Linked DNA regions of Drosophila melanogaster. The protein of the gene in region 1 purifies or fractionates together with the protein of each later gene. This does not show direct contact. Each region holds a gene or a part of one and is shown in the gene's direction. Other genes may lie near its edges.

Region 1 (4,166 bases):
AATACCTTTTATAGGTGGCCAGGCAACTGTGCTCCCAAAAGCTTTAAAAATTGTTTGAAATATTTTTAAAGTATTTCTGAAAAGGATCTTATTTGTTTTTGGTTTTTTTTCAGGTGCGAGGCAGCCCACGGGATCGCTATGTGCATGCTGCGCGAGATGCGCTCTTCGGGCTTCAAGATTCCCGAGATCAAGGAATGAGGCCATGGAGCTGCTCGCTGGCCCACCATTGCATGTTCTCCCTCCCTTTTTTTTTTGTTAGTGATTCAGTTCGATTTAATTACCAAAGCTAGAGAACTTGGAGTGGTTTCCCAAACTAATAAAGCGCCCAACCAACAAGTTACGAATTATGCATATTTATCGGGTGGGAATCACATATGTAGTACGTAATCCCGTAGTTGGAACTGCGAAAGATTGTGTTTTTTATTGTGCAAAAATGGGAAATAAATTACTGTATATATAGATTTATTCAAATCAATTGCGAGTGAGCAACTAAAACTTGATCTAGTACTAGAAAATCGTATAACTAGTATTTAATATATAATTATATTGCCTAATAGATTGTGCATTTTCGGTTAAAATTATCTGAGAAATCATTGTAGCTAAGATTATGGCCAAAATATGCGAGACACCTTCTTTCTACTCGTAGTTAAGATCTCAAGTGGTAGTTGGTGGTGGTGTCCATGGCGCGGAGATGTCCTCTACCAGACCAGCTTTACGTTGTTGCGCTCCAGCTGGCGACTGATGCACTGGTTGAAGAGGTGGGCCACCTCGCAGGGGTTCTTCGAGGAGATGCCGCGGCTGCAGGCCTGCGCCATGCTGGAGCTAACGGCGATGGCCATCTTGTTGTCCTGGGTCACCAGGCTGGTCAGCTTCTCCACCTGGCCAACGTTCAGCTTGTTGTCGGCGTCCATCTGGGTGCGAATGAGAAGTATTAGTGACCTTTTAGTTCTGGTTGTGACAAACGTCCGGCTACTCACCAACTTGATCTTCTTGAGCACGCACTCCACCAGGCACTTCTCCTTCTCACTTGGATTGGTCACCTTCCCCAGCGGTCGCTGGTCCCTGGGCAGCTGCAGCTTCTGGATGCACTCCATCCTGGCCGCGGTGACCAGCTCCTGCACCTGCGGCAAGTTGCGATCGATTACCGCCCAGATGGGCTCCGTTCCGGTCTTGGGCAGCAGCTTGGCGAGATCGAAAGCCTGGGTCTGGCCACGGACGCAGTGCGTCTGCAGCAGGACAGCGACCACTATCGTCATTAGCGGAATGGCTGCGACTGGAGTGGATGGCTTCATCTTGGCAGCTGCTTTCTCTTTGGCTCTGCTCTTGCTTGGCCCCTTGGCTTATAAGCTGACCCATGACCTCACACCATAGTCGTCTGCACATGGCATCGTCGCTTGATTTTGCTGATTGCAAGCATTTCTCCAGTGCCAAGTTCATCACCCAAGTTCGTCACCCGCACAAGTCACGCTCCAAAGACGATATTTGACATCGCCAACGCTATCCAGCGATGTGTCAGTTCACTCGAGACAATGACAATATCGGATTAATGTAGATCTTCAATCTGGAAACCTGATAGGTCTATCAAAGTACCAAGGTTTGTAAGGTATATTCATTTTTGGAATAATACATTTGAAAATATCAATGTTAATTAAAATGAAAGTAAGCCATTTGCTCGCAACCGAATTATTTAGATATATACATATATTATCAATCGGACTTATTTGTTGGATGATTTACCATGTACATATATGTATAATACTCGATCACACAGACTTCCGACCTGTTAAAGATCTTAATGGGGCTAGTAAGCCCCACTCAATCCAATTGGAATAAAAATTAGCATGCAACATGCTCACACGATGCAATCCGATTCCATCTATTGGATTCCACAATAATATAGATTGCGTGCTAAAATCTCCACTCGATGGATGGACAAACAGACTGACTGGATGGAACTCAGATAGCGATCGTTGGCACTCGGAATGATCAGAAAGTCGGCAGGCTGACGGGCAAACTGGGAAATAGGCGGACAGATGAAGGGTATATTATGGCCTAAACGGCCAATTTGGCAGGCGGCAACCGCAGTTCCCAGTTCGCCCAGTTCCATATAATTGTATAATCGCTCGATGGCCCCGCCAGTCACAATCACTCATCTCACCCAGAGCTGTTGATCGATTTAATTACAAGCGGGATTTCTCATCTCTCATTTTGCATTTAGCATTTTGCATTTTCATTTCCATTTCCACTAGCCATAGCCATTCCCAATTCTATATCCCCGGCATTTGCAGCGATTTCATGCCAGTCACCAATTAAGCAGGTAAGTGGAGATCGGTGGGCCATCTCATCTGGCAGCGGCAGTTCCAGCGGGGTGTCACTCGTTCACACGATGCCCAGTCGAGGGCATCTCCGCCGGATTCCGTCCCATCCCGTCCAGAGCGGCGGAGTGAAGTGGAGTGCCATGTGCCATGTGCTGCCCATGTAGTTCATAATTGCGCGTAATTGCCGGAGCTGCTTGAGACGCAGCTGGAGATCGGCGATGGATCCGATCTGCCAAATCAATCACGGGACTCGGCTTAGGCAATAGCTCCTATAAAACGCCGACGTTGCCGGCGATTCGCATCCAAGTCAGAGTTCGCACGTCGCGCAGTTCAATCGCAAATCGAAATGTCGCATCTGGTTCACCTGACCGTCCTGCTCCTAGTGGGCATCCTCTGCCTGGGCGCCACCAGCGCCAAGCCGCACGAGGAGATCAACAGGGACCACGCCGCCGAGCTGGCCAACGAGTGCAAGGCTGAGACGGGAGCCACCGATGGTGAGTCAGATGGTCATCAGTGCAGAAAATTCAGTAGGGAATACAGCTGTCAGCGTACCACTCCTACCTGTGGTGGATGTGTTAGGATAGTTATTGTGCAATTATCAATCATATGATATATCGCTTACAGAGGATGTGGAGCAGCTGATGAGCCACGACCTGCCCGAGAGACACGAGGCCAAGTGCCTGCGCGCCTGCGTGATGAAAAAGCTGCAGATAGTGAGTGCTGCTGCTCCGGCAGGAAGTGTGATCCACTCACCACCACCCATTCCATTCTCCCTCCCATTGCAGATGGATGAATCCGGTAAGCTGAACAAGGAACACGCCATCGAGTTGGTCAAGGTCATGAGCAAGCACGATGCAGAGAAGGAAGACGCTCCCGCCGAGGTGGTGGCCAAGTGCGAGGCCATCGAGACACCCGAGGATCAGTGAGTAGTGCTCGCCGGAAGCTGTTGGCTCAAATCCGGACTATAATCATGCTGCCATTTTCAGTTGCGACGCTGCCTTCGCCTACGAGGAATGCATTTACGAGCAAATGAAGGAGCATGGACTCGAGCTGGAGGAGCACTGAGAACAGATTTGAGACCCATGACGACCCCCCGTTACTGTATCACAAGCGCCCTTCTGGAATATAACCATCTTTTTTTTTTATGTGTATACTATGAATTAAGTACTTGATAAACTGAGAAACTGCAGGCTTGATTGTTTGTTGGATTGTGAAGGGGGATTCGTATGGGTGTGGTTATCCTCCAAGACTCCTCGGGACCCATAATTTACTAATAAAAAATTCTTGCTCAATTTCGACGATTATATTACAATCTTTATTATTATAAATACAAGTACATTTTTTTGTATATCATCTCCCAATCTGGGGCATATTTAAAAGATTCTTACTCACTATTTATTAATGCACGATGTTCTTCGTACCTGGGTTTCTCCAGGTGATATCCTGCGGAGAAGGGACCCAGCCAGGGATGCGCGTTCGCTCTCGGCTCCCCTAAATATGTCCTAGCTTAGCCGACTTAACGCAATCTGTCGGTAAAAATATCTATTTGCTCAACTTGGGCTCCTAGTATAGTATGCTGCCCAAGCCCAGGGAATTCGTGTCGAGAAGACGGCGGCTCCGATTGCGGTCCGTCTACGCAAGGCGAATTCTCAGGGTCTTGGGCTATGGTCATTAAACCTATTAGTTAGTAGCTAGATGAGGTGCACAGGTCATACGCGATCTGCATGGCTGATCTCTACATGTTTTGAAAACAGCCATTAAAAGATCGCGCAAATAGCCTGATTAAACACAGGTAGAGGTAAACAGATGGTAAAAAAAATTTAAATATCTTAGTTGAACCAAAAAAGC
Region 2 (3,803 bases), 9.3 Mb from region 1:
AAATGTCATTTATCACAATATAAAATTGTATGCTAAATAACACGGAATGACCTGAATTAGAAGCACAAAAACCTTTATGAACAATCTTATGTCAGGTTAATAAATCAAATATTTTACGATGATGTACATATATACTATGGTAACTTATAATTTGCTATTCAAAATATTTAGAAAATATATTTACTCTTAGGCATTTTATGGAAGAGCTAAACCTAAAATATGTGCCAAGGTAAAACAATCAATTTAATATCGTATGTATTTTCATGGCCAACTGCAATCGGTCGAAAAAAAATTTCCAAAAATTTCCAATCAACATATCCATGAAATTAAATGTCAAGCCGAAAAATCGAGGTACCCCAGCCGGAGCTCCAGATTATCAGTTATATTTTAGATCCCAAACAGTAAACACCGTTCAGCGGAGCAAAATTTTGTACAACTTTTATTTGGTCAAAAAAAAAAAAATCGAAAGAAAAACTGTTTCTTTTTCACCACTTTCCCAAATTATTTGTATTTAGGATTTACTCAACCGCAACTCACAATATGTCGAATTCGTTTTCGTACTGGAATGGCCAGCCGTTGAATGCTCCCGTTTATCCGCAGATGGGTGACTTCATGCAGCACTCTGCCGCTGGAGCAGCCGCTCCACCACCACTATCAGCAACAGCAGCAGCACCAGGATTAGGATCAGCCGGCGGACTAGGAGGTTGGCCTAGCCAGGGCGCAGCTCAGGCACACTCCATGCTACCATACGCCGGAGGAGCCGGTGGCATGCCGGCTGCCATGCCGGGTGCCATGCCGGGCGTCATGCCGGGTGCCATGTCGGGTGCCATGCCGGGTGCCATGCCGGGTGCCATGTCGTGTGGCATGCCCATTACAGGAGCCCAGCATATAGTGCCGCCACCCGTGGACCGTTCAATATATGGAGACATACCCGGACGAAATGAACCGTGCATCGACAATGGCGAAGCCTTCTGCGCCTACAACGGCATGGACATGAGCATGAACTACGGCGGAGGCAGTGCATCCAAGGGTGGCTTCTGGTAGGATCGATGCCACGAACAATGACAGCACGAGCATCTTCACCGAACGACTAAAGTGAATCGCATATGGGCCATATACATACACAATTAGTTTTCGAACCAAACGTCCGTTTTGTGCAGCTCAAACGACTCGTACTTGGCGAAAATGTATAAAATAAATGTCATAAATCCATAAGATATGAAAATAATCAGTTGGCACAAATCGGTGGGTGGGTTAATTGCATTAATAAATACAGAGATGAGTTAACGTGCGGCAAATTGAATGTGAGAAGAGCGTTGTAAACTCAAATCGCATATATTTTATATGCTAATTACTAAATAGGCAAAATGTGATGTATGGCAAAGGTTACTATTGTTATTTTCACTCGGCAGTCAAATATTGAAGTTTTATTTTTTATACAAATAATTAAAGCACAAATCAAGCTTACATTGTAAATATTTCGATTTTTCTATTTAGTTTAAACAAATCAAATTTAAATAACTAGGTGCAAACCATTTATAAGATTAATAGACCCAATTTTCCACCGTATGATTATCTTGAGCACTTCGTATAAATATATGTTCTTGAGATTCGCATTGTAAAGTACAAAAAACAATACAAGTTTCATCGTTTCTAACTATGCAAATACAACGCCTGCCGCCCCTTTTGTCGTATCACAGGGCGTGGCTGATTGTCACAGTGATGAGATGGCAATTTCTCAACACGCTAACGAGATGCACTTACAAAAAAATGGGTATGCCCATTGGGAAATTATTCTTAAAAAAAGATTCGATGATTTATACTAAAATTACATGAATTTAGCATAATCGTAATGTTACCAAGTCATTATATATTTATTCTATTGTTTGGCTCGAACTTTTCTCTCAGTGTACTAGGCTAGAACTCGTTTGGAGAGCGCACGCAACCATCGCAGCGATATATAAAGTGGATCTTCTGGCCGAGATTCGAGTAATCATCGTTGAAATCGCAATCGAAAATCATGGAACGCTGGCAGAATCGCGTGGCCGTCGTCACTGGCGCCAGTTCGGGCATCGGATCGGCCATAGCCAAGGATCTGGTCCTAGCCGGAATGACGGTGGTGGGTCTGGCCCGACGTGTCGATCGCGTCAAGGAGCTGCAGAGGGAGCTGCCGGCGGAGAAGCGCGGCAAACTTTTTGCCCTCTACTGCGACGTGGGCAACGAGAGTTCCGTAAACGAGGCCTTCGATTGGATCATCCAAAAGTTGGGCGCCATCGATGTGCTGGTCAACAATGCCGGCACCCTGCAACCCGGCTATCTGGTGGACATGAATCCGGCCGTAATGCAGCAGGTATTGCAGACGAACATCATGGGCATCGTGCTGTGCACCCAGCGAGCGGTGCGTTCCATGCGGGAGCGCAAGTTCGACGGCCATGTGGTGCTCATCAATAGCATCCTGGGGCACAAGACCATGACGGCCACGGAGGGCGTGGCGCCCGATGTGAACGTCTATCCGCCCAGCAAGCATGCAGTTACAGCGCTGGCCGAAGGATATCGCCAGGAGTTCTTCGGCCTGGGCACCCGCATCAAGATTACGGTTGGTTCGCTTTCCATTTTCCACTTTCTTCGGATTGAACATTTTTCTAACCCCTTTTTGGCTTTTTCCGCCAACGTAGAGCGTCAGTCCGGGCGTGGTGGACACGGAGATCGTGCCGGACAGCATTAGGGAGGCCATCAAGGATCGAATGCTCCACTCCGAGGACATCGCACAGGGAGTGCTGTACGCCATCGCCACACCGCCACATGTCCAGGTGCACGAGCTGATCATCAAGCCACTTGGCGAGACCATGTAGGCGGAGGAGCTTCAGGAGCTCTGTTCTTTTTTTTTTTTGTATTTTTCCTCTTCATCTTAATATTTTTGCCGTGACAGAAAATATGAAGCACCATATTCACACAATTTTCGTAGACAGTTTAATATTCACAGTTAAGCTATACACGTTGCAATAAAACTATTTAAATTTAAATTTAGTAAGTCGGTTTAATTTACTTAAATTTGAAATTGAAATTCCCTGTCTTGAGCAGTAACAACACATGCAATGAATGCGATAAATAAATGGGAATGCATTTCCATGGGTAAACGGAAAATTGAAAATCCAGCCGTAAGTGAAAAAGTATGGTAAACATATATACGTATGTATTTACTATATAGGAAATGCGAGCAATGGCAAATGACTTTCCGCATAATGGGGCTGGCTGGCAACTAATTGCCAATGGCCCTAATGGCTTTAATTGACAATTTTTGTTGTTTTTTCTTTTTTTTTTTTTAGCTGGCCAAAAAAGAGCACAATTGAAATTTGACACAGAAAAGGCGAGCAATAAATGGGAAAATAAGGCAAGCAAGCCATCCTGCACAAATGGAATTCTCTGTGGTCAAAGAGTGTCATGTGCAATTGGGCATCTTCGAGCAATAGCTTCATTCGAGGAGGAAACCGAGTCATTAGAGCGTTCCGCTTCTTCCAGCTTCCTGTGCACTGGGAAAAAATACTAATCGCTCTGCGAATTTTGTTCGAAGAAAAACCAAACTGCTATGAAAAGTGCCTGCCTGAAACTTGGCACAGCAAAATCGAATATTAACAGGAAATGCCCAATGATTATTTAGACTATTTATGTTACAGTGTATTTCTTGCTGCCGGCCACACACTTGATTTTATTTGCGCTTTTTCCGAGTTGGTGTCCGTCCGGAAACTCAATTTGTCAGACAAATGCGATGGAGCTAGCTGCAGCAGGAGAGCATAAAACAGGAC

What was found.
Region 2: the proteins of Obp19d (region 1) and Antdh purify together in Drosophila melanogaster (affinity purification with mass spectrometry, with the first as the bait; one large-scale study listed by BioGRID). This does not show direct contact.

The regions. Positions count from the first base shown.
Region 1 is NC_004354.4:20,417,474-20,421,639, forward strand, and holds Obp19d (Odorant-binding protein 19d), read left to right. Parts: upstream 1-2,139; 5' UTR 2,140-2,664; coding exon 2,665-2,812; intron 2,813-2,942; coding exon 2,943-3,031; intron 3,032-3,103; coding exon 3,104-3,240; intron 3,241-3,304; coding exon 3,305-3,383; 3' UTR 3,384-3,506; downstream 3,507-4,166. Other genes in the region: Obp19b (Odorant-binding protein 19b), read left to right, coding at 114-198; Obp19c (Odorant-binding protein 19c), read right to left, coding at 699-911, 978-1,292.
Region 2 is NC_004354.4:11,167,247-11,171,049, reverse strand, and holds Antdh (antennal dehydrogenase), read left to right. Parts: upstream 1-1,991; 5' UTR 1,992-2,020; coding exon 2,021-2,596; intron 2,597-2,675; coding exon 2,676-2,852; 3' UTR 2,853-3,020; downstream 3,021-3,803. Other genes in the region: CG1394 (uncharacterized protein), read left to right, coding at 541-1,044.